Rhinolophus ferrumequinum: one gene and its partners. The protein of the gene in region 2 interacts with the protein of the main gene of each other region in a pairwise test. Links are inferred from orthologs where the notes say so. Each region holds a gene or a part of one and is shown on either strand. Other genes may lie near its edges. The genes, in order: FRYL, HOMER3, EIF3D and MOS.

What was found.
Region 1: the proteins of HOMER3 (region 2) and FRYL interact in binary tests that used the Homo sapiens proteins (3 or more experiments, as listed by UniProt). The two-hybrid records come from large-scale screens. The link is inferred for Rhinolophus ferrumequinum from reciprocal best matches to the Homo sapiens genes HOMER3 and FRYL.
Region 3: the proteins of HOMER3 (region 2) and EIF3D interact in binary tests that used the Homo sapiens proteins (3 or more experiments, as listed by UniProt). The two-hybrid records come from large-scale screens. The link is inferred for Rhinolophus ferrumequinum from reciprocal best matches to the Homo sapiens genes HOMER3 and EIF3D.
Region 4: the proteins of HOMER3 (region 2) and MOS interact in binary tests that used the Homo sapiens proteins (3 or more experiments, as listed by UniProt). The two-hybrid records come from large-scale screens. The link is inferred for Rhinolophus ferrumequinum from reciprocal best matches to the Homo sapiens genes HOMER3 and MOS.

The regions. Positions count from the first base shown.
Region 1 is NC_046288.1:7,822,344-7,830,445, reverse strand, and holds the start of FRYL (protein furry homolog-like), read right to left. Parts: upstream 3,736-8,102; 5' UTR 3,695-3,735; coding exon 3,493-3,694; intron 1-3,492. UniProt on the Homo sapiens protein: Plays a key role in maintaining the integrity of polarized cell extensions during morphogenesis, regulates the actin cytoskeleton and plays a key role in patterning sensory neuron dendritic fields by promoting avoidance between homologous dendrites as well as by limiting dendritic branching.
Region 2 is NC_046301.1:51,533,484-51,541,921, reverse strand, and holds the start of HOMER3 (homer protein homolog 3), read left to right. Parts: upstream 1-5,246; 5' UTR 5,247-5,447; intron 5,448-5,529; exon of another isoform or gene 5,530-5,954; intron 5,955-6,373; exon of another isoform or gene 6,374-6,562; intron 6,563-8,213; 5' UTR 8,214-8,281; coding exon 8,282-8,295; intron 8,296-8,374; coding exon 8,375-8,438. UniProt on the Homo sapiens protein: Postsynaptic density scaffolding protein. Binds and cross-links cytoplasmic regions of GRM1, GRM5, ITPR1, DNM3, RYR1, RYR2, SHANK1 and SHANK3.
Region 3 is NC_046293.1:10,163,786-10,171,720, reverse strand, and holds the start of EIF3D (eukaryotic translation initiation factor 3 subunit D), read right to left. Parts: upstream 3,448-7,935; 5' UTR 3,302-3,447; intron 594-3,301; 5' UTR 585-593; coding exon 462-584; intron 166-461; coding exon 120-165; intron 1-119. UniProt on the Homo sapiens protein: mRNA cap-binding component of the eukaryotic translation initiation factor 3 (eIF-3) complex, a complex required for several steps in the initiation of protein synthesis of a specialized repertoire of mRNAs.
Region 4 is NC_046297.1:22,013,573-22,021,002, reverse strand, and holds MOS (proto-oncogene serine/threonine-protein kinase mos), read right to left. Parts: upstream 2,171-7,430; coding exon 1,124-2,170; downstream 1-1,123.

The DNA of each region.
Region 1 (8,102 bases), on a different chromosome or scaffold from region 2:
TGACAAGATTAGGACTCTACACAAAAAATATGAATATTTAAGCATCTTATGAACAAGATTATGTAACATAAATCGGTGAACCTTTTGATTACCTTTTATTTATTAAGTGGGGATAGCAAATAAATGATTTACCTCTTTAACAAAATTGCAACATTATTTAACTATACACACCAGTGTCCCTTTATTGTAAATTACAACTGTTAGCTAATCATGTAATCAAAAAGCTTCCTTAAAGTAGGAATCAGGGAGGAAAAAGGTCAATAGGTCCACTAAAGGTTTTACTTTGACTTTACATATAAAATCCATGTTTATTCCCTAGGCTTCTGGGACAGTACGAAGTACTTGTCTCTTAAGGTAAATCTCTCTTTCTTGCCAAATTCAACCCATGTACATACATATCATCTACAATTTCCAGTTTCAATTTCTTCAAAGTGCAATGAGAAGCTTAAGGTATCTGAGGGCAAAATCCTTCCAATCATGTACACTTCTCTGGCCTACATGTAATACAAAAGCAAATTGTTTTTAGGAATTCACCTGTGTGGAATCTGACCAAAGCATTCAAAGTTGCTTACACCAAAACAACTCTTTTTTTTCAGTCTCCTACTTTGCTGAATTATGTAACACCTAATTAAATTATATTACAAGTACAATTGATATATCTGGTTTGGTATAAAACACAATCCATTCTTGGTAAGCACACAACACAACCTATTAGGAGCAGAAATGGTGGCAGGGAATTTGAATAGTGTGGTATACTACAGGCATTTGTTAATATGTTCTGTAGAGGACTTATGATAAATCCAGTGAGTTGTTTGAGAATTTCTATAAAAATCTATAAATATTAGGTTACTTAATATTTACAGAAAGTTAAAAAATAAAAAAAGTTATCAAAAGCAAAGAAAAACATTCTTCAAAATATCAACTCTTGCAAAAAAAAAAAAAATCAACTCTTGCAAATTCTACCCATATTTTTGTTCAAGAAACCACAGACATCTAAAATACTTCTGGAGTTAAAAATAGCAAGTAAATTCGATATATTGCAATCTAACTCATTCTTAGTTGATCCTCTCACATTACAACCTTGTCTAACATCCCTTGAAATAATTTTTTAAATTTTGAATTAACAACTAAAGAAGTTGGAAACAACTGATCCAAATACAAAACTATGAGATTACACATCAGTTTTTCGCTAAAAGTGTAGTTCCTTCTTTGCATTACTGATATGAAATCTCTTCATATATTTGATTTCTCCTTTCATTAAATGAACAATACTATAACACCCTTTAGAAGAACTGTACCCAGTCATATTTGTATGACTTTCGGCTAAACTACTACATTATCTCTATCCCAGAACCACCAGTAAACAGGAAGTAAAAATTCATTCATGCTGAGTTGCAAGTAACCTTTGTATAGACTGGTGCGAACCACCTGCGTTTTATTCTTACATACAATATAACTTTAGTATCAATCTTGAGATTCAAGAAAAGGAGTTTGATCAGTAAACTGAAATTGAAGAACCAGAAACTTTAAAACCAAATCTCTCTACAGAAATTGCCAAAGAAGTCCTTTAAATTAATTTTAACAGTCATTCCCTCAAGTTGAATTTTATTTTTGGAGAGAAACTGGGCAAGTTATTCCACAAAGAACCTGTAGCCTCTGAAATTTCAGACAACATACACGTATTCTTCAGTGCTCCATGATTTTGCTTTGTTTTGACTGTGACTGGTAAAAAGATATACAAGTATACTACGGAAAATTCCTAATCATTACATTGAGTGCTTATGTGAAAATTAATATAAATTACAAAATCTATTACATTTTATAACATGTATGCTATACTCAAAAACATAAGATAGTCTTTTTTTTTTAGAAAAGGAGCCATATTAAACTAATGGGCATAACACATTACATTTAATTAAAAACCAAATCCAACCACATAAGCTGTGGTAGAGAAAACAACTAAGTGATTCAAGGCTAAAAGCTAAAGTAAATTTTTAATAACTTAAATAATGCACATGTTAATATATTCATATTTTTCACTTATGCATATTTGCATTGTTGAGACAAAAAACTAAGTGCTGAAAGATTTCCAGATTTTAACTGAAATTAAGAGGCATTAACTCCTCAGTGGCCTCACCTCTACTTCATCCACCCAAATGAGTGAATAGTATAAAAAGAAACTTCAAATACCAGTACATTGTAGATATCAATATATATGTATATATTTCTTTTTAAACTTAAAAGTTCCCTCTCCTTTCTTTTACATAATTGATGTTCTTAAAACAAAGTTTGATTTTTCACAAATACTACCCTATTTTTTAAACTGACAAGAACTAGTGTTAGGGAGAATACAAAGAAATAGGAACACTCATCTGCCCTGAAGAGCTTAAATTGAGAAATTTTTTAAAGGTAACTTGGCATTATCTATCAAAATTTTAAATGCACATAGAAATTTATGTTAAGAAGCAATCAACAAAGGTATAATGTAATACATAAATTGATATTACATAATTTTTAATAACTAAAAATTAAAGTCATTCTAAATGTTTATCAATAAGGGACTGATTTAATTATTACATCAACACAATTTTGTGCATTTTAAATGAGGCAGGAAAATGTTTATGATGTATTAAATGAAAAAGCACAGTTAGGACAGTAAACCTCATTTGTAAATTCTATAAATAAAAATGTATATGTGCACATTAAAACTATAAGAATATATATCAAACATGCATAAGGTTTACATAAACTCTCTTCTTTGTATTAAATATTAACTATATGAGCACTTATTGGTTTCCGAAAATAAAAAAATTTTATAATCATACAGAACATTTTAACATTTTAAAATGTTTTAACCAAAAATGTAAAAATTTAAAGAATTTTTCCATCTTCTTTTAATATTTGCTAGTCACTAGCAAAACTGATTTTTCTCCTAACACATATCATTTGCTCAAACTTTAAAAGGCATTAAATTTAACTTTGCAGGGTTATACAAAATAAAGGTTGTGACACAAAATAATCATGATTATATTCAAAGATGTGACTTTTTTATATTTCACTCAAATATTTGCTATCTTTAAAACAAAAGAACGGGGCATATTTTAAAAACAAAATTTACACAATTTCTGTGGTGATAGGTAAAACTCAGCATCTTATTTTTTTCATTTACATATTCTACAGGTTATAGCAATAACATTTTTTCAATAAGTATAACACTTCATCAACATATTATCTAAAGATCACCAAACTTAATTTTATTAATGGCTTTATTTGATTTAGAGCACAAATATTTCTCCATCTAAACTTGAAGCAAAAATTTTGATACTAAAAAAATTTAGACCAACTATATATTTACATGTATTAACATTTTTAATACTTAAACTTGATTTTCAAAATAAAGATTTATGCTTACTAGAATTGATACTTGTAAAAATAATTCTACTTTCCTAAAATACTTTTTAAGGGATTGAAAATGAAACATTTTTACTTTACCAAGTTGTTGGTGGTGGTGTTTGTCATAATTTCTATGACAGAAATTGATTCCATCTTCCTCATCTACAGTTTTCTCCGATGAAAGCAAACTAAGACATCTCATCTTCAGTAATCTTGGAGAACTTTCCTGAAAACCATCTCTAGTATCCCAAACCACATCTCCAGAAAGAATGGGAGGAACAACTCTCTTTAAAAAATCCATTTTAAGGTTCTACATTACTAGACCTACGAGCACACAGAAAGGTGCTTGTACCAATTTCCTTGATGAGAAGATAAGGTACACTATTTATGTCAAAGAGCAAAGAAACGTCATGAGAGCTGAGGTGGTGCTAAACACCAGTAGGTCAAGTGCCAGCTGTTCTGAAGCTGATTTTTAGAACATTTGCTGTTCATACTGATAACAAACCAAACAGTTATCGACAATGAAATGGCACTTTACTTGTACATCTACAATGGGTGTTAACAGCAATATTGAGACCATAAAATGTTCAGCATTCATCTAGTTTAACATTTAGACTTTGAAAACTTACACTGTGATAATGTTAAGACAAATTTAATTTGGTCTGCGGTGTGTCATCCTTTTAAATAAACTTACAACTGAAGTGAGAAACAGTAACTTGCAGTCAAAAGATAATTCTTAATTCTAAAAATTCACTAATGGACCTCAGGAACATCAAGTTTCATGGGGCATGAAAGGAAAATTTAAAACTTTACATTGTATTATGAACATTCCAATGTGTCCAATGTCCAATGAATACAATCAACTGTAATTATCAATAGCAGCAACTGAATCCTTGGCATAAATTACAAGAAGAAAGTGATAACTTAAAATAATTTGGATCTAAGAATATAAAGTATAAATATTTAATTCACTAAACCCAGTAATCAACCTTACACAATTTGTTTCCAAATAACTAGGCATTATACTAAATATTTTAAAATAGCAAAAGTAGTTGATCCTACTGTCTTAATGTAATCCAGAAGCATGACAAAATATCGCAGTGGAAGATGCCTACATAAGACTTTGAAAACTGAAATTAATATCGTCTTTTTTCCCTTCTTTTGCCTGCCCTCTGGTGGGGATATTAAGTGAGCAAGAAGGAAATGAAAAACCAAAGAGAACAGATAAGGCGTAAACTCCCTAAGCAATCAAATTTATAACCTTGAGGACATACATTTGATAATAATTTAAAAATCTGATTTCCCTTAGTGAGACAGAAGCACAACCTCATTCTTCTAAGACTCAACATGAAGAAAATGATTTATATAGTTTAAAAGATAAAGCATAAAATTGTCTATGTAGATATCAGGAAAAACTGTTCTAATGTAAAAACAAATTTCTGGTTCTGAATTGCTGCGTTTTTAATCCTCATTTTTCTGCCACATTGATTATATAAAGTCAACTATTTTTTATTTCATTATTTAAAAGACATTAATTGAAGGTCCTCTACATGTAACACGTTTATATAGTATTAAGGCTCAGGGGAAATTTAGAGGATTTATTAATGCAAATCCTGTCTCAAGGAATCCTACGGTGAAAAGCAGGGAAGAAACAAGGAAGTCAAGTACAGGACTAATATTTCTTTCCTTAAAGCAGGAATGTACTGACTAGGAAAATAGCTTAACTTTTTTAAAAAATGCTTCTAAGAAGTAGATTCTCTCTCTAAACCCTTGAACATGAAAAGCTGTAAATTCACATCTGAGCAGACTATACCCCACACACAGAAGAAACCACCGGTTAGAACCATAATCCATATGCCTCGACAGCTTAGAAATTATCACTGTGTCTTCCAGGCTTTGTTGGGTTTTTTTTTCCTCTTTATGGATATGATCTCATGTTCTTTAAAACTTATGTTTTTAGTTTTCCTCAGATTCCTTTGCAGGTCTTCCTTATCTGTGGAGCCCAGCAACATAATGGTACACAGCACATACTGCTTGTACAGGGCAAGTTACCTTCGTGTCCGTTCGTGATGTACAAGCCACCACCTGTGTCACTATCAACCCCACCGTTCTGACTGCACTTTCAACTGGGGAAACGAAGGGCAAGGATGTTATTAGGTGTTATTGAAGAGACCACAAGATTTTTCTCAGATTTCCTTCAGTAAATAAATATTTGCTGAGCAACTACGATACAGGCCCATGAAAGATGCACAGGCATTGAAGATATGGCTCTACCCACAGAAGCTTACTATTTATGAAGGGAAAGAAACTCTCACAACTACCAGATTCCCTGAAGGGTTGGCTAAGGCTTTGCTGAGCCTGCACTGCAGTTCAATTTCCTCTGCCCAACCTGCTTCTACACCACCTCTCTTATTAGACGGTGATCCCCAAAAAACACCCTGGCAGAAGATTCCTTTTCGGCATCAGCTTCCACAGGACCCACCCTGAGAATACAGCAAGGAGAAAGCATGACGTTCCTGTGACAAAACTGTATGCATTACTAATTGAATCTCCGAAGAGGAAATGCCATAAAGCCTGTTTGCATGATGATATTTCTATGATTTTTGGTTGATTATCACAACTTTGAACTCCTGGTATAATAGTTTCAGAATTAAGAAATTATAATAGAAACTAGTGGCTCAATAAAAGATCCAAAAACCTTTATAAGACCTCACAGTCACTATTTAACCTTTAAAATAATTTTGTTATAATCTTACCGTAGAACTCAAGACAGTAATTTCTTGGAGGTAACTTGGATCATCTACTCCTGACTGTGGGACTCTTGAGCAGTTTTGTGAATTAAGCATTTAGGTATTAATCATCCAAGATTCAAATAAATGGCTTCGTCTCTGATGAAAAACAAAATACAAAATTCACATGTTAGATATGTTTACAATAAGCACATTTGTGTGCTACTCATATCCATCAGTCTTCTGAATATTACATAGCAGTATCACCTACTGCTGTAGTTATCCTCTTTCTATAATGTTGCATTACATTTCTCCTGAATTTTTATTGTGAAAAATTTTTAAATAATGCAAAATTGAGAGTAGTATCATGAATCCACCATTATTAACTCATAGCAAATCATGTTTCGTTTATACATATACCTACTCCCAACTCCTATCTCACCACTCTGGATTATTCTGAAGCAAATTCCTGACCTTATACCTTATACTTCATTTGTAGATAATTCTGTATGCATCTCTCTAAGACAAAGATTTGCTTTTTAAACATAAGCCAATATCATTGTAATGTCTACTATAAATTAATAAATTCTTTATAACATCAACTACCAATCAGTGCTCAAATTTCCCCAACTATATCATGTGTTTTTTTAAACAGTTTGTTCTAAATCCAGATCTAAACAAAATTCATATAGGCAATTGTTACTAAGTCTTTTAAAGCCTTTCTAATCTACAAGTTTCCTCTTCCTTTGTTTTCTTTGCATTGACAAGTAATGCTTTCATTAGCCAATGATTGAATCAATACATCAATAACTTAATTATTCAATAATACATTGAAGACATGTTTATGTTATTTACTAAAATAAACAGATTTGAAAAATCGTTCATATGGCCACTAGGCCTAATATTTATCCCACCTACAGATAATGTTTGGGATACATATTTTTCAAAGTCCAATTACAATATCTGTGAGAGGGTCATGGACTGTGAACAACTGTACCATATCTGTAACAACTGGATGGTTACTCAGAATGAAACCAATGAGCACAGGGAGTTTGACCATACATAAGGTCTCACACATGTAATAAAAGCACATCCCATACTTTTATTACCATTAAAGATGTTGGCATTTTTCAATAGCTACATAGGCCGCATTTTAAATCTAGCATTGAACTCAAATTAACTTCCTTTTAAATCATAGCTGGTGTCTTAATTCTTTTGCTACTTAATGAATTGAATCCTCAATCCAACAGAAAAAACTGACTACTCTCTAAAATATTAACTTTGGACTTAAACTTCTTAATTTGAAATTCCTTTAGCCAAGTTTCAAAATATGATCTTCCATTTACTCACAGGCACAATCAACTAAATCGTGACTAAAATCAAATCTTTGAAAACAAAGAACTGGTATATATGAATAAAATACTAATTCATATGCACTTGTTTTTAATATCATTCAGACCTACTGGAATTTTTATTGGCACACCATATATTTCTGAATCTACTAACAACATATCTAGAATTCTGTCATAATTCTGGATACTTTATTTTTGTTGTTGGTTCATGGACTCATTTCTCCCTCAAAGGAAATAAAGTTTATGTGACAAATAGCATATTATTTCTGTCGAGTACGGTCATGCACTGGTCTATACTTAATGAAATTTAAACTACTTTTCACTTTATCTTCTAGGGCAAATTACAAAACCAGTTACTACTGGAGTATGAAGCACTTTTAGGACACTGCAACATGTTCATCTAGGATTGATTTGTACCGCGATGTCTAGGTCTTTTGTTTTGCTTCACTTCTGAATAAATTTCTGTTCAGATATAGCAAAAACTAATGCCATGATTTTATGTGTTTTCTTTTCTTGTAACCACACAGTCAGAGCACTGTATCATTTTAAGACTTCCCAATGTTTGTCTAGAATTTTCAATACCTCTTTAGTAGAAGATGCACAACCTTTTTATTTTCAACTTCCATTT
Region 2 (8,438 bases):
ACTTGCCACTGTTTCAGGAGGTGGGAGGGTCCCCGCAGGTCCCTCTCCTCTTGGCACGCCCCCCTCTCAGATTCAGTTTCCCCAGTTGTAGAAGGTGACCGGCAAAGCTCCCAGCAGGGCCAGCTTCTGAGTTTAACGCTCTGATGTCACTGTCTTAAAGTTCTGAATAATTTTCTGAATTTGCTGTTTGCGCAGGGTCCTGCTAATCAGGCAGGTGATGCTGCCCTGTTGGATCCATCGACAAGCACTCATCCTGTGCCTGGCTGTGATTCCCCACCCGGAAATCATGTGGCCACCGCTCTCAGGCCTCCCAGACAGAATAGGACAGGACAGGACTCGAATGCAGACCCCTGAATGCAGCCTGTATATAGTGTCTCCCCTGTGTATGCAGCCAGTGCATAATGTGTGACCCTTTCTCTTTCCCTCAGTGGTCCTCCTCCCCCAGCCTGGGGGACAGGAGGCTCTTCTGTGACCTCCCTTGGGGCTGCAGGATCCATACTCAGGGAAGCAGATGTTTCCGTCCTGTTGGAGGCCTGGAATTTCAGAGATAAGAGGGCTTCAGAGGGGGGAGAGAGAGGGAAAGAGAGAGAGAAAGAGAGAGAGAGGGAGAGAGAGAGAGAGAGAGAGAGAGGAGAAAGAAGGGCCAGATAGAACAGAAAGGGGGTTATTGAGACAGACTCCCTCCCCAAGGCCCTGGGAGTGATATGAACTCAGAGCCTGTGGCCAACCCCAAAGATACAATAATAGGGCTGATAACCGTCATTTGTTATCAAGCACAACCCAGGATACCCTCTGCCTCCAGATAACAGAGGAAGAAAGTCTTAGGATCACCCTTCTCAGTCCATCTACCATGTGGCACTCTGGTGAAACTTATCCAGCACATGTAAAAACAGATCCTGACCTTCTCCTGCTCAAAAGCCTTTCATGGCTCCCCAGGGCTCTGAGTATAAAGTCCACACTCTGCTGGGGCCCAAAAGGCTCCTTGCCCACCAGGCTCCTCACTATCCCCCCAAGTCAACCTGTTCCGGCCACACCTGCGTCCTCAATGCTTCTCCAAGGGGCAGAGCACATTCCCACGTCAGGGCCTTTGCACATGCTGTTCCCCTTCTCTGAGCAGCCTTCACCAACTACGGGTCTTTGCTTGTTGCTTTGTCTGTTTTTCTCTACTTTGCATAAACTGTCGGAAGTCAACCTACTTGTTCCTCTGTTAATCATCTGTCTATGCACCAGATAGCTGTGCACTCCCTCAGGGCAGGGCCTCCCAGAGTGTTGGGACACAGGAGGTGCTCAATAAACATGAGTTAACAGATAAGGAACCACCATCTTACAGAGAAGGAAATAGAGGCCCAGGGAGGCCCCCAATGTGTCCATGGAGACAGGCTCTCCCACCCTGGGTGTCTAAGCCCAGACTGTATCAAGTCCACCTGCAGGCAGGTGATGCCTCCTCCCCTACCAGTGTGTAAATAAGGCTCCAAAGGCTGCAGGGAGCAGGGCTTGGCTCTCAGACCCAGTTTAAAGCCAAGCTTTCCACTTGGCCAGTTTTGATTTGGAGAATTGGTTTAAGGCCCCTGAGCCTCAGTTTTCTCTTCTATAAAAATGAAGTTAGAGGTCGGGCCCATGGGGTCCTGTGTTAGGCGAGCACAGCAGGGGTCCTCCCCAGTGTCCCCTTTGTGGCCTCCCACACTGGGCGATGATGGGGCCCTGAGAGGCCTTGGCCTGAGCCTGGATTCTGAGAAGCCCTGATCTGAGGTGGGGGCAGAGATAGCCCCCTCCTATGAGGTCAGGGTTGGAGGAGTAGAGGGAGTCTGGGAAGGCTTCCTGGAGGAGGGAGTGTTGGAGATGAATGCAGAGGTTCAGATGTGGGGTCCAGCAGTGTAGCCAATGGTGATAGGGAGCTGGATTCTCCCTTTGAAGCCTCCAGGAGAGCCATGAAAGGTGCAGGAGCAGGAAAGTGAGCAGTGCAGCCAGTTAAAGGGATCCTGGGAGGCAGAGGGAGGGCTCGTTTGGGGGCGTCCCAGAGAGGTGAATCCTGACTTCAGTCTGTGCCTGGAGACCAGGAATGGCCTCCCCTAGCAGATCAAGGGAAGAGGCTGCCACATGTGAGTCACCCAGTTCCTGCAAGAACATTCAGCACCCGTCGGCCCCGCGTAGGCTGTCACCAAGCAGGAACACAGCCCCCGGAGCCCCTCCTCTCCGCCTTCCCTGAGGCCTCCCGCTCTCTGTTCCCACAGCTGTTCCTTCAAGGCCGCAGAAGGAGAGTAGGAGGACAGGGCAAGCAAAGGAGAGCCCATGTAGACTGCTTGGCCAGAATTTGGGAGTTTGGGGGGAGGAGAGCTTCCCTGGCTGAGGGTCCAGTGTGCGCGCTGGGGCTGTCTAAGCCTCAGGACTCTACCCAAGATGGGGAAACTGAGGCTCAGGGAGGTTCTGCGCCCATTTTCCACATATATAGACACCTGGTTCTCTCCTAAAAGCTAAAAACCAGCTTGGAGCCTGCATTGTAAATCTGATCACGTCTCTCCCTCTCTGGCTCCCAACTCTCCCATGGCTCCCAAGTACCCTTGGAATAAATCCAACACACTTTATCATAGCCCATGAGGCCCCACCTGGCCTGTGACCCCCTCAACCCTCAGAATCCCCTACTCTCCTCTCACTCTGGCCACCTGGCTTCCCCACTGTTCCTCCAATGCACCCAGCCCATCTCCACCCCAGGGCCTTGGTACATGCTGTGCCCTCTGCCCAGAGCACACTGTGTGAGTTATTATCCCCATTTGATCCCTCAGGAAAGATGCAAAGAGAGGACGTCATGTGCTCAGAAACACACAGCAAGTCAGTGGTGCTTGGTGTTCCCAGCCAGGCCCATCTGACCAGCCCTCCACAGCAAGCCCTCTCCCCCCGATGGTGCCACGATTAAAACAGGCCTCCAGACCAGTCCACCTCAGAGCTGATTCTCAGCCCCTCCAGGTCTTGCCACCTCCAGCTATGTGCCAAAGACCCTCAGGCCTCAGGCCAAAACCCCTGCTCAGGGAGCTCCTGGGCCAACCCGACCCACACATCTCCCAGTGTCCCTCCTGTCGTGGCCGCAATTTCTTCGCCCCACTTTCTGCCCTTCACGCTGGTGGATGGCAGAGCCTTCAAGGACGGCATAGCCAAAAATAATCGGTCCCGACCTACCTCCCAAAAGTGGAGCAGCCCCCGCCCAGCCACCTGGCACCACAGAGGTAATTAGTGCACGTGGCAATGAGGGTAATTAGGTCTGTGGGATCCAGGTTTGGAGTTGGGAGGGGGCACAAGTGCTGCCACTTCCCACCCCTGACCTGCCCAGGTCCTGGGAGCTCAAGTTCATAACCCAGGGCTGGACCCCTTCCCTCCTCAAGCACCTGTGTGCCTGGGCCTGAGCCAGCGGGCTCCATTATTTCCTGGGGGCTGTTTAATGAATTAACCTTAGCTTTGGGCAGAAGTTGAGTTAGATATAAAATAAGGCAGAGTTACTATCACCAATATCGAGTCATCAAACTCTCCTCTGCCATAACCCCCATGCATCCACCCAATGCCAGGAGACGCCAAGCTAAAGGGAAGCCTCAGCCCAGCTCTTGAGGTGCCTCAGGGTAGCGGAGTCAGAGTTAGACACAGACACCGGCAGCCCCTTGGGGTCAGAGTTGGGCCAGAAGGAGGGAAAGTGTTGGGGAAAATCTAGGGGAAGAGGAGGGAGGGCTTCTCACAGAAAAGAACACTGGAGGTGGGGTGTTGAGGGACGATTAGGAGTTTTCCCAGAGGATTAGTTCTGGTAGCTGGCTCAACTGGACATGGCTGGGGGAATGGGGAGAAGGAAGAGGAGGATGGCTGGAGGGGCACATAAGGGACCCAGAGCTAAATATTTAGAGGATATCACACCAGGTTGGACCAATTTTGTCCCCAAGAGCTTACACCTGGTTGGAATCCTTCACCCTCTAACAGAGAAAATCTTAAGAACTTTGCTCAGGATCAAAACCACATGCCCAGACAGCCAAGAATAAATATAATGTTTATAACAGTGAGCATTAATTAAGCTCCTAGGATCATGCCCTCTTCATACAAGGACTTGGGTCCTTACAGGAAACCTCAGAAGTGGGCACCATTCTTATGCACATTTATAGGTGGGGAAACTAGGACACAGAGAGGGAAAGTGGCTTCTTTAAAGTCACACTTCTGGTAAGAGGCAGGGCTGGGAGTCACTTTCTGGCTCCTGTGACTCTGGAGACCACCAAAGACCAATGTTGGGATCTAGCGATCCCTTCCTTCTGGAAGCATTTACAGAGGATCTCCTGCAGGTCAGGCTTGCTCTAGGTGCTGGGCAGAGCTGTGAAAGAGGTGGATGGTAACCAAATCATGCCACAACAGATATAGGTAGCCACTGTGACTCATGTCCTGTAGCTGGGCATGTCCCTTTGGAGAAGAGTGACAGACTTCCCCTCTTCTGGTGGGACAGGAACCCTCCAGAGAGGACAGAAGATTTAGCTTTAGTACAAAGGTTGGGTCACAATAAATAGAGGCCATAAGCGCCACTCTGCAAACTGCTTCCCTAGAGCCCAACAAGCCATTCTAGTCCTCGCTTGGTGCCTCCTATGACAGGTTGTTCATTCTCTCATGTCCTTCCTTAGTCCCAAGGGAAAGCTGTTACTTCTAGTCAGCCACTCTGGGGTGGTGCTTCTGCCCACCCTGCAAGGATAGACCCAAGGAGAAGTGGGCTCAGGCTGGGGTAAGGGTGGCAGCTCAGGGAAGCCCCCTACCCATCTATACCCAAGAGAGAGTGAGGAGCTGCTGGTGTCACCTGGATCCTCACTGCTTCCTCCCCAACCCCAGGCCAATGCTCATCAGCCCATTCTCCAGGTGAGAAAACAGGTCTGTACTGACAAAGCCATTCCCTCAGTTTGGACTTGACTAAGACAACTTCAGGTCAGGGTTGCTCAAGGCCAGCAGCATCCCAGCCCCTCCTGGAGCCTGAGAGGGGTGTCCAGGAAAGGATTCAACTCCCCACTCTCTCTCATGCTGTTGCCTTCTGCCCACACAAGGAGGAAAGCTGGCCTGGGCCCTTCGCCTGCCTCCCCCTTGAATGGCCACGTGGCCCCAGTTCTGTAGCCGGCTGGCACTCAGCACACCCTAAGCAGCTTCCAGAAGACTCGGCCCTGCAGGCACCTTTCCAGTTACTTTATTATTATTTCTTTGGTAATAAGGAAAAGTCACTTTTGCACAGAACAGACGGTATTCTCTTTGTTCCCCACAGTGTTCAAGCATTTTGTGGCTTCAGGCCTGAGAGCGAAGCCAAATCTTTTGCTCGTACAGATGCCTTGTGAAGTTAGAAGCAGCCTGGGAAACTGAGTCTGTGCCTCTTTCCCCAGTAAGGCTGGGGGTCCAAGATGGGCTGGCCCTCCAGGAGCTCCCAGACCTGGCCGCACTGAACTAATAAACAGGTAACACACATCAGTTATCCGACAGAAAGGGAAAGGAGAGTGGGGCAGGGCAGAGCAAGATCGCTTCCAAGCCCAGGATGGTCAGAGAAGCTTCCAGGAGGAGAGGGGCGGGGAGCTGAGCCTCGAAGGACCAGGCAGAATATATGCCTGTCAGAAGGGCATTCCAGGTAGAGGAAACAGCTTGGGCAAAGGCCTGGAGGGAGGAAACTCAGGTTTTGGCCTGGGACTAAGTCTCTAGAATTCATCTAAAGGTAATTTGAAAGTAGCTACCAGTTTAGATGTGTGATTCTTGTCAGGCAAACAGAAATAAAAGAAGAGGGAAAGGAGATGTGACAGACCAAAAGCAAAACTTCTCAGGTTGTCAGAAAGCTCAGAGCGTCAGGGAACTGTGAGCCTCGGGCAAGGCCTCCTTGCCTCTGCCCACCGCCAAACGGCACTGTGCAACTTGGAGGCAAGCTCAGGCCTGGGGAGGTGATCGCAGCTCAGCCCCCTGAGGACCTGCTTCTGGTAAGTGTATGAAGGGCGGGCTCCCTCTGACCAGAAGCGGCAATCCAGGCCTGCGGAACTCCACCAGACTCACCATTCGGTGGGAACTGGACCCCGACCATCCCTAAGCCCTAGATTCAGGGATCCTATAACACACCAACGATCACCATCCCCTACGGTTGTTGGCATTGCCACAGTTGTCTTGTTACATTGTTGTAGTTCTCCGTCTGTCTATCTCCTGTGTCTCTACCTCCCCCCGCCCCGTCTCGGTCTCTGGGTCCCCCACCCCAGTCCCCTTCCCCGCCCTTACCCCCAATCCCACCCCTCTCCCCATTCCTATGGGCTCCCCCACCCCCAGCACCGTGGAGGGCCGGTAGAGGGCGCTGCGGGAGGCCTCGGGGCCCGGGGAGGCGGGGCGGGCGGCGGCCGCGTCGGGACCGACCGCGATGGGACCGGAGGCGGCGCGGGCGGCGGCGGCGGCGCAGACAAAGGCGCGGGCGGCACGGAGGGCGGCGCGGAGGGCGCGAGCCCCGGAGCCATCGAGAGAGCCGGGCGCCCGGTGCGGGGAGTTAGCACCGCTGGCCGCACCCGACTCCGCCCGGACGCTCACGGGGCGCCCAGCAGGCAGGGTGAGCCCGGCCGGCCGAGCTTGCGTCGGGGCGCGCGGGCCCCGAAATTCCAGGGCCGGGGAAGGGCGCCAGTGTCCCCGAAGTCCCGGACACGGAGGATGGGGGCAGCCGGAGGAATCCCGAAGTTCCAGGTCTTGCGGGGGCGCAGGGGCCCCTAAGTTCCGGAGCTCGGGTCGGGGAGGGGACAGTGCGAAGGATTCCCAAAGTTCCGCGCTCGGCGTCGCAGGAATGTGTCTCCCGAAGTTCCAGACCTGGGGCGGGGGTCGGCGCAAGGGTACCCCGAATTCTAGACCTGGAGATAGAAGTGTGGCAGGGGGTCCCCAAAGTTCAGGAATTGGGGGCGGTGCGGACGATCCCCGAAGTTCTGGACCTTGGGGTGGAGGAGGCAGATAATGGTCCCCGAAGTTCTGGTCCTGGAGTCGGGGGCGTCGCAGGGATCTCGGAAGTTCCAGGGTCGAAGGCCTCACTAACCGAAGTACTGGGCGCCCCGCTCCTGACGCGGGTGGGGACTCAATCCTGACTATCAGGCCCCCGACTGGGACGCGTGGGGTGGGGCTTCGCTCCCACAGGCAATTGGGGATTCCGGGCACCCGGCGGTTGGGCCCCCTCCCGGAGCCCCACCGCCGGCGGCGTCCGAGGCACATGACTAGTTGGTGAGTAACTTTCCCCAAATGCGCAAGTCTCTGCAGGAGAGTCCTGGCCTTAAGGGCGTGAGTTCTGGGACCCCTGCGCGCCGCGGAGCCCCTGCCAGACCCAGGACCCGCCCCCAACCCCGGCCAGAGTTGCCGCCCCTCCCCCACCAGGGGCTCCGGTTTCAGACCCTGTGACCAGGACAGCAGCTGCCCAGGAAGGGGGGGGACGTCCCCCTCTGACCACGGAGGCCACTTGGCCGTGCATCCCTTCCTCCAATGTGTCCCCCCTTCTCCTAGGTCCCTCCTGGATCCCCTGCAGATATCCTGGATGCAAGTTTGTGGGCGCGGGAGGGTCAGGAAGTCTCCCTGGGCAGCTGTTCCCGGCTTTGGTGGGAGTGGGGTGGCTAGAGGAACCAGCAGAGACTAGGCAGACCATCTCCCAATCCTGGGTCCCGCCCAACCCCCATGGTATTGGGAGTGAGTGCTGATGGTGGTCTGGCAGTGGGCACCTGTGATTGGTCCTGTTTGGCTACATCTTGTCTTTTTAACTAGGATGGGGTTCCCTGAAGATTTGGACTTTGACCCTAAGTCTGTGCCTGGGGCCTAGAGTGGAAGTGGAGGGGTCCCTCTGTGGGGCTTGTGGGAACTGGTTTCCCAGTAGGCACTTGGTGATGCCTCACTTTTTGCTGGAGGCCCTGGTTTGGGGAGTGATGGGTGAATGTGTGGGGAAATACTGAGCGGGAGCTGGCCTTGGCCTTCAGGACAATGAGAGATGGATGCTGAGATGTCAGGGGCCACCTGGCTCCTCTCAGAGAGCCATCTCCTGCCCAGAGTGTGGTAGGGGCTTCTCTGGGTGGAGAAAGTCAAGGTCTTCTTGCTCTGAGTGACCTACTGATTCCCTCACCTTTTTGATTGAAGTTCTGTGAACGGTGCACCTCGTGTTGGGTCCTGAGGTTGGACCTGCTTGGCCTCACTCAGCGTGTCCTGGTGGGACACTGACAAGCCCCTTCTCCCCCCAGAGGCCGAACCAGCAGCTCCTGCCACTCCTCTGGCTGCCCCTTGGAGCTCACCCAGCCCAGCTTGACCAATGTCCACAGCCAGGTGAGCCCCTGTCTCTACCGGCTTGGCCCTGAGCCCCTGGAGGTGCCCAGCCCCCACTGAGAGCCCTCTCCCCACGCAGGGAGCAGCCCATCTTCAGCACACGGGCACACGTGTTCCAGATTGACCCAGCCACCAAGCGGAAC
Region 3 (7,935 bases), on a different chromosome or scaffold from region 2:
CTAAACACTGGGAGTTATTATCAGCAGGTTCCCATCCTAGAAGTTTCTGATGGAGGTTACCAGAAAAAGGAATGGTTTTCCCACGGCCCTGATCGGGCAGTCAGTCGGAGAACACTTACTCGTGTACCTCTTATCTTGGTACGTGGCGCCCGTCCAGTCTGCAACCTGGTAAGGGCAACAAGGGAAGACAGTGCACAGGTCAATGAGGCAATTTTCTGTTGACCCAGAAACCCCCAAAAGTGAGGACACTGTGGGCAAGTAGCAGGACTGGCTCACAAAGCCTTTGTAAGTGCCCAGCTGCCTGTGACTACTGGAAGTAGCCAGAGGTGACCACCTTTCTCAGCTGGTGTCCCTATCAGGAACACGGGAATCATGCTTCTGAGAGGATAAAATTGAAACGAACTCGTCGAGAGTAGCAGCCACAGCTTAAAAGGTCTAAACTCCTGCCGATAGGCAAATACCTTTCCTAGTCGATCTCCTTTGCTGAATGGCTGGTAGGGCATATCCCGAAACTGCTCGGGGACTGCACAGGGACCCCAGCCAGAGGGGTTGTCCTGGATCACGGGCGTCATGAACTTCGCCATCTTCCAAACCTTAACAAAATATAAATAAGTAGCTGCATGAAGAAAGGCCTCCAAGTAAAAAAGGCTTCTATTTGAGGTAAACTAAGACATAAATGATAAAATTAAAAAAAAAAACACCACACACAAAATGGAACCCTGTTAGTTACGCCCTTCTTGTGAATACTTTTAACTCAGAAGGCTGCTGACAAAACTGAGTTACCATATTTCATTTTTTCCCACTGGAACATCCTTGAAATCAGTTTGCACCTTATGCTCGATTGGGTGTCATAAATGACAGTTTTTCTTTCATAGTGTTATAATAAAATAATCATGCTTGGTTAAACTTGGTGGTGTCTCACAGATTGGATAAAATGTAGTAACTTTTTCTCAAGTGTAATAACCAAGTTCTGGTTCTCAGAAACACCTTCACCATGGCATATAATATTTAACTTCCCTAAGCCTCAGCCTTTTCATCTGTAAAATAAGTAAGGTCCTTATTTTATTTATATCAGAGGATCACTGTGAAAAGTCCTATTAGTTAACACACACGGAAATACTTTCATTGTAAAATGCCACACAATTACTATTCAGACTTGCAAAAATACATTTACATAGAGTCTAAGAAAAATAAGTCTGTGAGTATACCCTGAAATTCAACTTTCTTTTCTTGTTCTTCCAATTTCCTGTCATCAACGCAAATCCTTATGCAGAACAAGCGGACACAGAGCCAAGCAAAAGGCCTTCCGGAAAGCTGAAGAGATCACCAGAAACCTTCGGCCATCAAAGTGGCCACTGATCAAATGTTCATAAGTATTTTCAGTACCAGGCACTGTCCATTGTGCTTACCTGCAGAAATTCACTAAATCCCCCAACAATCTGAGGTAGGGGCCAGTATTATCCCCATTTTTTAGATAAGAAAATTGAGGCACAGAGAAGTTAAGAAATTGCCCAAAGTTGCAATGCTAGTTGATGAAAAATTTAAACCCTGGCAGTCTGGCTCCAGAGTCCACTCTGCCTAATGCTATAGCTCCTCTGAGGAGAGTAAAAACCAAGGACTCCCAACGGATGCTTGACAGACAGCTGACAGTTCCTGTCAAAAACCCATGTACCCACCATCCATTGCAAGCCTCTGAAAATGCTCAGAAGGTGAGTTCCCGGAGGAAAACTCATTACACAAATATTTCTGGAGGGTGGTGTAGGGACAGAGTCCCAGAGAGCAGTTTGCAGGCTCTCAGCCTCACGTGGAGGGGTGCTGGCTCAGGTAGTGATGGCCATCAGCTGTAACCAGTGAGCCATTTAGCCACTAATATAACTGCCTTGGCTGCGTTGGTTGGTTGGTTGGTTGGCAGAGAAGCGGACGGCAGATTGCAGATCGTGTGGCTCCTATTCCTGTGTCTCCAACCAGCCGCCAGCGAGAATAATAGTGGTATGACTCCTCTATCTATGGCTCCGTGGGTGTTCCTTTTTGGCCTCACCATGTCCTGCGTTCTTGTGTGGGGAGTGGGACCAGAGACCCCACATGACAGGTGGAGTGCAATCAAAGAGCACTGGATACTGAATTTAGTAAATTCTCCTCTTTGTCCCATGAAGGGGAGACTAAGGCTTCCTACAGAGGTGATAGCAACAGGAGCTGGGTGACAGCAAGAGAATGAACCTGGGAGCTGCATCCTCCAACTCTGAACTTAACTTACACTCCAGGAAGAGGACTGAGGAAGGGGTGGCGGTCTCAAAACAATTCACATTCAATAAATATTTACTGAGCTCCTAGTAAGTGTCAGGCACCATGCTAGATACGTTAGCCACTAATTCCCCCAACCAGCACTTAAAAGGTAAAAATCTGCAGCTCAGCCAAATCAAGGAATTGATCTGCCTATCATTTCAAAATCGATTTGATTTCCAGGGTTGTCTGCCATAAGTGCAGCATTCTTCCCATTATATTCTAGCTGCACAGCAGCCTCAAAAGATCTGGGGTTTTTGACCACATTTAATAACACAGTGATGTTTCAAAATACATTTAAAAAAAAATCTGCTTGTCTGCCAGAGCTCAGGAAGGAAATAGGCCCAAGGCTTGACAGGCATTTTTCCAGGGGGAGGAAGTCCGCTTTTGACACATGTAAAATAAGAGTGAGCAGAATGGAACCAGTAGGACAAACTGAGCTCTGCAGTTAGAACGGAGAGACAGCTATACAGGCTACCGGGGCAGAATGGAGAAGCACCCAGAAGGGGCTGTGTTTCTAGGGGACCACAGTGTCGTGCAGATTACTGCTGCCACTACAGATCGTAGGCCATCAATACCGGTGTGTGTGTGTTTCAAATCAGACCAGATCTACTCCATTCTAGCCTTCCATTGCACATTAAAGGGAAGGAAATCTCTGGGCTGTCAACTCCTCAGAGCAGAGCCGAACACCGTTCAGCTTGGCTCCCAATACTTCACTCACAGAAACTCAAGACAACCTTTGGCCACTTAAACGAGACCCTGCGACCCAACTGAGTTAAATGACATTATCAAATTCGTCCAGCCCGTGATCGCTAAGCGGCGTCTCGGGCCAAGCACCTCACCCACAAGGCCGTGGCCCGCATCCCGCTGGGCCTGGGATTCCGAAGGCGGATTCCTGCTACGCCCAGCGCAGGAACAGCGGGGACAAGAGGGGGACATACCGGGGGGGTCTCTTCCGGAGGCCTTCCCCGCCCAAGCCGGCTCCGGAGGTTCCCGGAACGCTACGGAACGCGCCACTCACCTGCAACGGCCTCAGCCGGCCCGGATGGCGAAAGATAGTCCAAGCCGGAGAGCTCACTACCAGCTGCACTCGGAGGAACCGGGAAAGGACAGAAGATGCGCGCGCAGCGACCGGCGCCGCAAACACGACCTGCGCTGTCGTAAAAGGCTCGCCAGCTTCCTTTGGGTTCGGCGACAGAGCGCGAGCCGTAAAGCGAAGGCACACCCGGAAATTTGTCACTGCTCTTTGCGAGGTGGCCTCGTTAGCCTTCCCGGCGCCAAGATGTAAGAGGGGTGTTTACAGTTACGTCATGGGGCATCCGGCGACGCTCCGAGAGGGCGTTCAGGTTTATTGAGACGTGGCGGGCGTGCAGCCCAAGCTGGAGGCGGTGAATGGCTGACAGGCCCTCTCTGTCCCACAATGCTTCACGGGACGCCGCGGCCCCTCTGTATCCCACAATAACCCAGGGGCACGTCGGGCGTCGTAGGCACATTTTTGTTACACCCCCCGCCCCGTTCCGCCCACTACTGTTACAGTTTCGGAAACTGAGGTCTGGAGGTGTAAAGTGACCTGCGTAGTTCAGCCTGCTAGTTGAGGGGGTGGCTGCCAGGGTTCAAACCATACTTTCGCAGTTCCCAAACTTTTTTGTATGACGGAGATTGCTGGAGCCCTAATTTGAAAAATACAGATTGCGGGGCTCACTTGCATAGGTTGTTACTCAGGTATGTCTGAGCTGGAGTCCAGGAACCTGCGTTTTCATTCGCCCCTGTGTTTCTGGAGTGGCGGAACCTCTTTCCTATAATGGCCAACGATGCTGCCCTTGCCGCAACTGCCAGCCGGCGGAGTTTGCCCGGAATCCTATTGGGGAATTTCAGAACATTGACGGAGAATCCGAGGGCGCGATTTTATTCAAACCTCAGATCCTCTCCCCTGCCTCCTAGGTTTCCTTATCAGCCTCCCAGCCTGTCTCCTGTATTGGACAAGAATATGCTATTAGACCCCAAACCTACTATTGGCTCTGCCGCTCTAGCTGTGTAGCCTTCACATTTTTGGGCCTCCCTTTCCTCAGTTACCTGTGACTTGGAGATAATATCAAGGGGATGCTGTGAGGGTAAAAAAATGTATGTGACAATAATAATTCAGCTTACCAGTTGGGTGAACTTGGTTATTCGATCTGTCCAAAGCTGTGAACTTACCTGTAAAATGAAAATGTTAATAGCAGCATCTGTTTCCGTAAATTCTCTCCGAATGTGCCCATCTTCCAGTTTTCCTAATTTTTTGTTAATGGTACCCCGTCAGCGATGCTCCGTGCAAAACCTTGCTGTTATCCTTGCTAGTTCCTTTTCCCTTTCCCACCGCATTCGGCCCTTCACTCAGTCCTCTTTATTCTACTTTCAAAATACGTCTTGACTACTACCAGTTTTCTCCACCATCTCCAGCCTCATGCCGGGACTCTCAGTGTCTAGTCTTGCTCCTCTAGGGTTCCTTTTCCACATGGTGGTCAAAGCAACTTGTTCAGATCCTTCTAGCAGCTTCCCGTTATGTGCTTAGAGTGAAATATGAATGTCTTCCTGTGACCTGTCTGGTCCGTAGCTACCTTTCAACTTTATATCCTGCCATTCTATACTTACCCTGCTCTAGCTACCATGGTCTTCTTTTTATGCTTCAAATACACCAACCTTATTTCCATCTCAGCAGGGCTTCTGCACTTACTGTTCCTTCTGCACGGCATACTCTTCTCCAAATTTACCTATGCTGGCTTGGTCTCATCATCTGTTGTTTCCACTCAAGAGTTATCTCAACGAGATCTTCTCTGACCACCATTCCTAAAACAGTGGCTCCTCTCTCCGGCCCTCTCACCCTCTTACTCTGCTTTGTTTTCTTCATAGTTCTCATCACGCTCTGATATATTTTGTTTCCTTGTTTAGGCTCTGTCTCTGCCTCTACAGTGTAGTGTAAGCTCCACCAGGGTAGATGGAGGCTTTGTCTGGCTTACCTAGAACAGTGCCTGGTAATAGACATTTGTTGAATTGTTGCATGAATGGATAGGGATTTTGTGAGAATTTTAAATGAGAAAATTAATTTAGCATATTATCCTGGGCATGTAAATAAGCACTCAATTAATGTTAGTGTGATTTCATATCAATAGTAAATTGTAATATATGCTAAAATATAAGAGGAGATGTAATTTTGCTAAATTGCTTGGATCATACCTTTTGCCTTTTTTCATGTTCTTTTTTTTTTTAATTAAAGTTTATTGGGGTGACAATTGTTAGTAAATGCCTTTTGTCTTTTATCTTTTTTTGCTGTGGGCCCACAGCCTTCTTCTGCAGTCTTTCTCTCATGTCAGAGTTTAATCATCTTTCCCATATTTTGGCCCAGATGTCCCTGCCCACCCCAGATGGAGGAGGATTTGAAGTGTCCTGTCTCATTCTCAATAGTCAGTCCATGGGTTTGGGTGGGAGTTGCCTCCATTCCTCCTCCCAGCTGACAGCCCTGCTGCCTCCTTCTGCCTATTTCTCTGTCCATTCTCCACACGATGGAAAGCTGGAACGACTCCTGTACATGAAATCAGAGCATGCTCACCCTCCCTCCCTCCCACGCTTAAAATCTTTCAGTGGCTTACTTTGATCCTGAGGATAAAAGCCCATTCTGTTCCATGGCCTGCAAGTTTCTAAATGGCAGCTTCCCACTGGCAGCTGCCTCTTTCTGGGTCAGACCCAGGCTCATTCCGGTCTTGAGACCTTTTCACCTGCTGTTCTCTGCTGCCTGGAATGCATCTCCCCTAGATCTTCACGAGCCTGTGTCCTCAACAAACAGGCGTTTCCTGACCACCCCTCTGAGCAGCCTTGCCCTGTCCTCATTCACTCTCTCATACCATGTGCCTGGTACGATTCCAAGAACTTACATTTAATTCTCACCACAGCCCTGGGAGGTGGGTCCTATTCTCCCCATTTTACAGATGAAGATATGGAGGCACAGAGAGGTGTTGTAGGTTGCAAAGTGCATTGTAGAGCCGGGTTTCAAACTCCGGAAGCAGCCTGGTTCCTGTTTCTTCTGCATATCCCATTAGTGTTTTACCGGGTGACTAACACTTATCTCCATTAAAATGATCTTGTTTGTTTACTTATTTATTGTCCTCTCATTAGAATGTAAGCCTCGTGGGGGGTGGTCTCACATGTCTCTTTCACTGTTGTATCCCCAGGACCGAGAATGGGGCTTACCACATAGTCGGTGCTTGGGAAATGTTTGTTGGATGCATGAGTGACCTCTGAGGACAGGTTTCTCCTCCAGGTGTCCACAGCACCTAGCAGAGCCCCCCAGCGCTGCACTTACCACACCTCTGGTTCTGTTACCAGTGTCCCCACCGCTCCTCCCCCAGACTCTGGGTTCCTCCAGCATGGGGCTGCATTCCTGAAGTTTGATGGTGCAGCACAGGGCCTGGCCTACAGAGTGTGGCCGGGAAATAGTTAAGGAATCGAGGGCCTTCTCGTTCTGTTTTCAGAGACTGTAAAATAAACAACTTTCTTGCCAGCAAAGTGTAGGTTTGAGGGCAGGTGCCCTTTTCTCAAAAGGCAATGGAGCTTCCACAGTGTCTTTCCAGTCCGGAGAGACACAAACACTGTTTTGGGCAATCAGATGACTAACTTTTCATTATTGCGAGTCACAGTTAACAAATATTAGCACAGCAGTTTATAAGTGACGAGGTTCTTACTTTCGGTTGAGCCTCATGACTACAGTATTTTAATACCAATTTTAGGGTAAAACGAGGCTGAGAGAGGTGACCTCACTAGCACAAGGTCAGGCAACTAGTGAGAGGCAGAAGAAACCTGGATGTGGTTTTTTCACTCATTCAACAAACATTTATGGAGCACCTTCTGTGTGCCTGGTCTGGAGCTAGGTGTGGAGAGGTAACAGAGAGCAAAATGGGTGAAGGTCTTGCTCTCCAGGACGGTGCTTTGTAAGTGGGGGGAGGTAGACATGGGGCAAGTGTACAGAGATGTGAGAAGTGGGTGAAGATGCTGCCACAGGGCTGTGTGTTAGGGAGCGATTTGGGGTGCAGCGCTGCTAAGGTGGGAGTTCAGGAAGGCATCTGTGAGGATGTGACATTTGAGCGGAGACTGGAGGACAAGGGGAGCAGGTCGGGCGGATGGCGGGGGAGAGTTGTAGTTGCAGAGGGAAGGGGCCCGTTCTGTGCCCACGTGACCTTCCGAGGAGGGAAGGACAAGCCCTTGGATGCCGAGACTGGAAGGATCCTCTTAGTCATTCATCTGGTCCACGCTTCCCTCCAGGCAGGCATTTCCTTGTCACTGGCCGGCTGGTTGCTGTCCCCTCTGCTTACATGTGCCTAGTGCTGGGGAGCTCACCCCTCTCATGTTGCTACTTTGCCTTTCACGGACTTCCTTTTGGTAAACATTTCTAGTTCCTTTGTTTATTTCTTGGTGTCACCCCAAGTCCCACTCGGTCCCCATTTCCCCATGCCTTCCAGTTTGTCAATTCTAACAGAATGGCCACCTCCAGATTCACTCCTCTCTCCTCCAGGACGTGTCTGCTTCTTGCTTGGCTTCTACCATCTGTTTTGGGGCCCTTTTCAATCTCCTGCATGCCTCCCCTTCATACAAACAACGTCGCTCTCCTTAACCCTCTCTGACGCC
Region 4 (7,430 bases), on a different chromosome or scaffold from region 2:
AGGAAGGGTGTTCTGTATTTTTGCTCTATTATTTACCTGTATACAATTTCCTTAATCCCAGACAATGTCTTTTAGTTTACTTCTATGAACAATGATAACACTAACAGCTTGTATCCTTTCCCCTCTCCCCGCCTCTGCCCCATTTTAAGTCAATAGTATTATCCTTGATATTTACCTTTGCACTGCTAAATTTGCTTTTACCTCTGACTTTGTCAACTTTAAATAATTTCTTTTGACTCTTACAGATGAAGCAAGCTACATGTTTATTCTACCTCCCGTCAGGGTATTCTGCTACAACTCAAAGACTTCCTTTATCAGTCACCCAAAAGGCCATATTTGTTTCCTATAAATGTGGGTTTCTCCATGCAGCCATACTTCTCCCTCCAAGCAAACCAAGCTCAGGAGGCTTCTGTGCCTGTCTTGTATTCTGGGATCCCACCCCCTGGTGACCCTCTCAATGTTCAGGACGGTATTTTGCTATCATGAGTTCTGTCATGGCTAGATCCTCATCAACACTTTCTGTTCCTTCTTTCTCTACCAACTCTTATAAGCTCAGCTCAGTTTGATCTCAGCTCCATTCTCAGGAGTTTCTTCCTTGATGTTTGCACTTCACAGTGGGCACCTGTGCTTTACAAACAAGAAATGGGGGCGGGGAGGGAGCAGGGAAAATTTAATCTTTGTTTCAAAGAAAGTTTTTACTTATTTGGTATGGGAGCCAGTAAACTGTTAATAGTTTAAATTTAGGTGGTGGGTACGGTGATGCTATTTGAATTTTAGAAAATTGTGGCATTTTACAATTCAGTTCTGTTTTGGACAAGTTGGTTTTATCAGTAACAAACTTAAATAAATGCAATACTATGGAACTGTTAAGTAAGCCCTCTAGCTGTGAAAGCAAAGCATATAACCCTATAAAAGAATAAGACTAGTTACTAACTACTAAGATGACTACTAGATTTGTAGCTCTGCTATTTGTCTTAGAAAAAGCATTTGAGACTAAAGGAGTATTTATTTAGTAACTTTATTTTCTTAAAATCCATCCTACAAATGTTTTTTTTCTACATCTTCACTTCTTTAAAAATAAATAGAAACAAAGACAAAAGCTTATCTTGATATAGGTTTAGAGTCAGCCAAATTCAGCTTTCAAAGAATTAAGTTCAACCAGGAGATTTTCTGCACTTGGCCTCTGGAATGCACTGGCCCTCCAGCAGCCCTGGATGATCTTCTCAAGTCTTTCCCCAGGGATGGAGTCAGTGAAGACAGCTGCTGAGAGAGACGGACGAAGATGATAGGCCACTACAGCGTAGAGCACGTACTGTCGCTCCCCCGAGTAAGGCACCTCCTTGGTAGTCATTTGCCAGAGAGTGATGGCAAAAGAATAGATGTCAGCTTTGGGCGTTACGTTCTCTCCTTTCAGGAGCTCTGGGGCTCGGTGGGTGTATGTGCCACCTAAGTGGTGAGGAAGAGTCTGGAAGCACAGATCTTCCAGCTTCTCAGAGCAACCAAAGTCACCAATTTTGCAGACATCCTGCTCACTGATCAAAATGTTAGCTGGCTTCAGGTCCAAGTGCACAATGCTTTGTGAGTGAAGGAAAAGGAGTCCATTCACAACATCTAGGGCATACTTCAGACACTTTGCCAAATTTAATTGCTCTCCCGCACAGCAGTGAGGCTCCACCTCCTCCTCCTCAGGGCAGCTGGTAGCCCCGTATATGACTTGGTGTAAAGTGACATTGCCACCAAACTCCATGATTATGGTGCCTAAACTATTAAAGCCTGCAGGCGTTCGCGTGCTGGCAGCCACAACCCCCACGATGTTGTCATGGCGAAGCCTAGCAATGTTGAGCTCAGCCCAGAAACTGCGCTGGGATGCCAGTCGGTTCTTGGTGCACCTGCTCACTTGCTTTATGGCCACTAGCACACCGTGGTAAGTTGCCTTGTATACCGAGCCGAAGCCCCCAGCTCCCAACCGCTGCAGGAAGCACACCTGTTCCCAGTCAATGGAACACCAGGCCAGTCGGCGTGGCAGCCGTGGGGCCCTAGGAGGAGTGGCCCCCGGAAAGAGCTTCCCTGCCTTACCTGGGAGCTTGGAGGGGCTACTGCAGGGCCTCGAGTCCACCGAAGGAGAAAACTCCCCAGGGAGGTAACGGCGCCGTGGGAGAGGTGAGGGCATCGCCCCTTCAAAGTGGACCCAGAGCGGCTCAGGTAAGTGAAAAGGAAAAACACTCGTGAGTTTGGGAGCATGACTGACTGCCTACTCCTTTGCTCCACCCCAGCGTTTTTCTCCTCTTCCTTCATTTTCCCCAAATGAGCCGCATCTGTGCTGTTACTCAGCAAGGGTTTCTATCAGATGGGAGAAAACAATCTGAACGAAGCACAGCAGTATCTTTCAGATGAAAGTATTTCCCTTCAACACTTACAGTGAATTCTTATAACACCAAGCTCTCAGATAAACAGCACTGAGCTGCCCCAGGAGTCACCCTTTACACTACTTTTTATTATAATAAAACGGGCTTTTTTTTCACATCTCATCCTCTGAACATTATCAGTTATCAGCCTAAAGAGACCACAACAGTGCAATGAAATTATTTCACACTTTGCAGACTGTAATGATTGTCAGTTATTCTCCAGCTGCATTAAATCACTTCCAGCAGTTATTGGCAGAAAGAGTTGAAATATGAACGGCTGACATTTGTTAAACCAATTACAGGGATAATTAGGTGCAATCTTCATATATGGATAAAAAATTGTAACCTTAAAGTAATCGATCCAAATAGAATCACTGATACAGGTCAAAACATAGACATACACCTCCTAAATTCAGCGCGGGAAAGGAAAAGTCTCTTATACTGCATTCAGCATATACAGCAAATTAGCAAGACTTAGCAACATATTGACTTCCTAACAATCCTTCCGTTCCACGGCAGTTCAGCCCACCCAGTAAGCTTGCTTGCAAGAGAGATTCTAGACTCCACAGCAAATGAGTTGCAGAAGTTTTGAAGCAGAGTTGGGTGAAGAAAAAAGAACAAAAATGATTCAGAGCCACGATCAGAGCTTCAAGTAATAATAAATATGAGAGAATCCTAGGAGAGGGAAAATCTGAAGAAATAAAAATGGCACAGAATCACTAGTGCCTGTATATAATGTGGAAAACCAGATGTTGAAATTAAATTCATGGTCTTGCTGTCCAACCATAAGTTTTTCCTTTCTAATTTTTATAATAAAAAAACTAATTTTCATTCCATATCTTTGGAAAAAGGACCAACAATATTACCCTGTTCATTAAAAAGCACAGGAAAATGTTAGGATCTACATTTTTAAAAATCAAATGGTAAAGTTTTATTAAGAATTTTTGTACTTAGAGCACATAGGTAATGTGTAACCACCTTTTTATGATGATAGGTCTATGCTTCTGAAATATGTTGGTTTTGAAAAGGTATGTTTATAAACACAAGCCCTTTTGAAGTCTCTTGAACTCTAAAATAGGATTTCTACTCTATACTATCCATTTGACTTAGTATGTGATATGGTGTGTAATAGTTAACCTGTTTAAGCCTCCATCTTTTCACTTAAGAAATTAGCATAATCATTATTAAATTTTTTATCTTGGAATAAAAGTTGGGGTGCCCTGGCCAGATTAATAACAGTAAAAATCTAAAAAATGTAAACTATGTGATATTTTAATAGAAACACAGTTAGATGAAGGTGTATCAGACCCAAAATATAAAAGGATAACAGTGAATAGAGTAAAATAAAAAAGCAATAAAATTATAATCTGTAATAAGTCAATATTGCAAAATTTATTCAATAGTCATCACATAGTTGGGATTATACTTTAGGGCTCTGAAACTGTTCTGTGTTATTAGGACTGCTATGACTATTAGTCGAATAAGAGCAATAGAGTGCCTTAACCTCCTTGGTATTGACACCCAATGCAAAACAATGCAACTTGTTATCACAAAAATCTATTTTTAAGATCACAGCATAAACAATTCATTTTTCAAAGTTTGATGTTATTACTTAAATAAAATATAAGTATTAATGAAAATGTGGTACTCTGTACATTCACAAACCCCAAGTTCATTAAACTTGTCATCTGCCAATCTGCACAAGAGTACTTAATTGAATATCCTTTTTAAAATATCTTCTGTGGCCAGATAGCCTGGGTTTATTACTGTCCCTCCGTTTCCAAATCTGCTGAATGAGGAAAATATGCCTACTTCAGGATTGTTGTCAGGATTAACATAGTTTTAACTACTTAGGTCAGAGCTTAATAAGTGATACCTAAATGTTAATTATTATTTATGAAACTCATTAAAAATGTATATGGGTTTATACCAATAAGAAGCAGATTTGTTAGATAGTATTGGTTTAGATTGTACCCTACCAGGGCTGAAGCAAGGCAAGTTATTATAAGCTAAACCAATTTGGAGTTTAATTTGAGTATTTTTTCCTGCACTTAAATTTTATTTGAGATTAAAGATAAAAGAGTATGTTGCCTTTTTATATGTTTAAAATGTGGAGGGTTAGCATTAATCTGATCAAATGCAATAACCTCGTCGTCCTCAAAGACAAAGAATAAAAGTTGCTGATAACAGGGTAGGCACTATCTACTCTAGAATTGCCAATGAAACAAAGGAGAGAAATTAAAGAGACTGTGTGCATGCACCTACTGAAGAGCAAAGGGCTCTCTGGTTCTTAGAAAAGGTTTTACATTTTCTGCTCTTTCATTGGCAGCATGACTGTTATGGGATACCTCAGTATCAGAGAAAGAACAGCATATTTATCACAAGACGTGACAACAGATACCGGAATTAATAGCTCATTGAATTCTATTTCAATCAAAGAGAATTCAGAAGCACTGGGTGTAGGAGGAAATCTATTGGTGCACGCGAAGGCTTGCCCACTGCGTAAAGGGCGTGAGTGCTACTGGCCAGCGTGGGCGCGGCGGATCCAGGGCAGCGCCGGCTGTAGGAGCGCCCTGCCTCGCCAGCCCAGCGCTTAAGAGCAGTTTCCCTGCCGGGATCCCCAAGTCACAGGAGTTGAGCGGCTGCTGTTCATGCAGCTGGACGAACGCCATCGCCGCCTCCCCTGCACGAGGCCGCACGCAGGGCTCCCGAGGCCTCTCTGGCCCTGGAGTCTGTACGCACCTCATCAGGAACCGCAGCGTGGTGGAGGCCGTGAGTGAGCTGCTTTGGGGGGGTGCCGAGGAGCACGTGGACGAGGCCGTCACCCCCAAGACGATGTGCTGCCAAAGGTCAAATGTACTCCAAGCTGCTTTGTTTCCTTGCCTTTCTGCATACACAGAATTTTATTTTCACTTCAAGTCAGAATCATCACATAAGCTCTTGGAAGACATTATTAAAAGGCCTTTAAAGTCAATGGTCTTACAACAACGCACAGAACCCCACTCAGGACTATCACCTCGTATCCTTATGGCCATGTCAGCGCTTGCGCACTGAGTGAACATCGTGCCACCCCGGGGACTATTTCCCAGTGATCTCAGGTTTCATCCAAATTTCAATGTTAAAATGTGAGAGAATGCTCATATTGGAGTCTTTGAAGTGTTTTTATTACTATTTACAAGCCTGAACTAAGGTTGAAAATTCATTTTTGCTTTTTTTAGAACTAAAAACTAAGATATAAAGAATACACGTACTTTGTATTGTATAGTCATACTTGAAAATTTTTTACTTATGTAGGATTGTACTGTTGATATTAATCTGAAATTTAAATTTTATATTTAGCAATATATCATACATGTGTTTCCATGTCAGTGCAGTACATATAGAGCTACTTTAGTTTTTGCAACATAATATGATCGGGCAGATCCAAGTTTTGTGGGGCCTAAAGTTTATACAAACTGGGGGATCCTCTTTAAGCAAAAGATTTAAAAATTAGGTATCTCAGTGAATATTACTTAGATGAGAAATCACAGCAACTTATAAAGGAAGAGGTGGTACATATATACAATGGAATATTATCCAGCCATAAAAAAGAATGAAATCTTGCCATTTGCGACAACATGGATGGACCTTGAGGGTATTATGCTACGTGAAATAAAGTCAGGCAGAGAAAGACAAATACTATATGATCTCTCTTATATGTGGAATCTAAAATAAACAAACAAAACCAAGCTCATAGATACAGAGAACAGATTGGTGGTTACCAAAGGCAGGGGCAGGGCAAAATGGGTGAAGGGAGTCAAAACAGTACAAACTTCCAGTTATAAAATCAGTAAGTCACGGAGATATAATGCATAGCATGGCAACTATAGTTAATATTGTGTTGCATATTTGAAAGTTGCTAAGAGAGTATATCTTAAGGTTCTCATTACAAGAAAAAAAATTCTGTATGTATGGTGATGGATATTAACTAGGCTTACTGTGGTGATCATTTTGCAAGACATGTAGCTAGCAAATCATTATGTTGTATACCTGAAACTAAAATAATGTTGTATGTCAATTATACCCTAAAAAATAACAAATTTAAACAAATTACTGAATTATACACTTTAAATTAGAGATACATGCCATCACTATAATAGGCCAAATTCTCTTATATGTTACAAATGTATGAAGTCCAAAATATGCACAGGTTCCCACTTGACAGATATTAACACTGGATCACATGGATCATGTCCCTGGGTGGAACCTGCACACACTATGTGCTTCTTTTGTTCATTCATGGAGGTTGGTCACTCTTATCTGGGATGATCATTTGGATTTTGGATTTTGACTCTTAAGATACATAAATATATGCTTACTTCTGTAACATTTAACTTCTAACTTCTCTACCTTTAAACTTCACAGGATGTTAAGACATACAAATGCCTATCAAACTGGTTTTAAAGACCTTTGAGCAAATGGTATCTTGCAAATTTTTTCACATTTTTAAGACCATAAAATGTTCATGGATATTTGAAATTGTATCTGAAATTTGGCACTCTTGAATTGCTTTGTCCAACTTATGGAATCATTCTACTGACATCCTTCTTTAAGGCAGAAAATACTTTTTTAAATTATGTATTTAATATTTACTAAATTTTGTATTTTTCAATGATAAAGTAAATGAATCAAAATAACATGTTGAAAAAAATCCAGAAGTAGTACAGGCTATTCAATTCACCATCTTTACTCAACTTTATTGTAATTTTTCTCCCATGTACCATTATGGACTCATAGCTTTCCATAGATTCGATGTGGTTTAGCCAAGTGCAATCATTATTGTGTTTTACAATGCTTCTGTTCTTTTGACACAGTCCCATTAATCTGAATTATTTATTGTATCCTGGTATAGCAAGTTACCCCCAGGCTCATAATCTACCCTGCCCCAGATATTGAATCAGTCATTTCTCCAGTGTATCCTGGGAAGATGGAATTAGAAATCATGATAGTGAAACTGGTACATTTATACAATGGAATATTATGCAG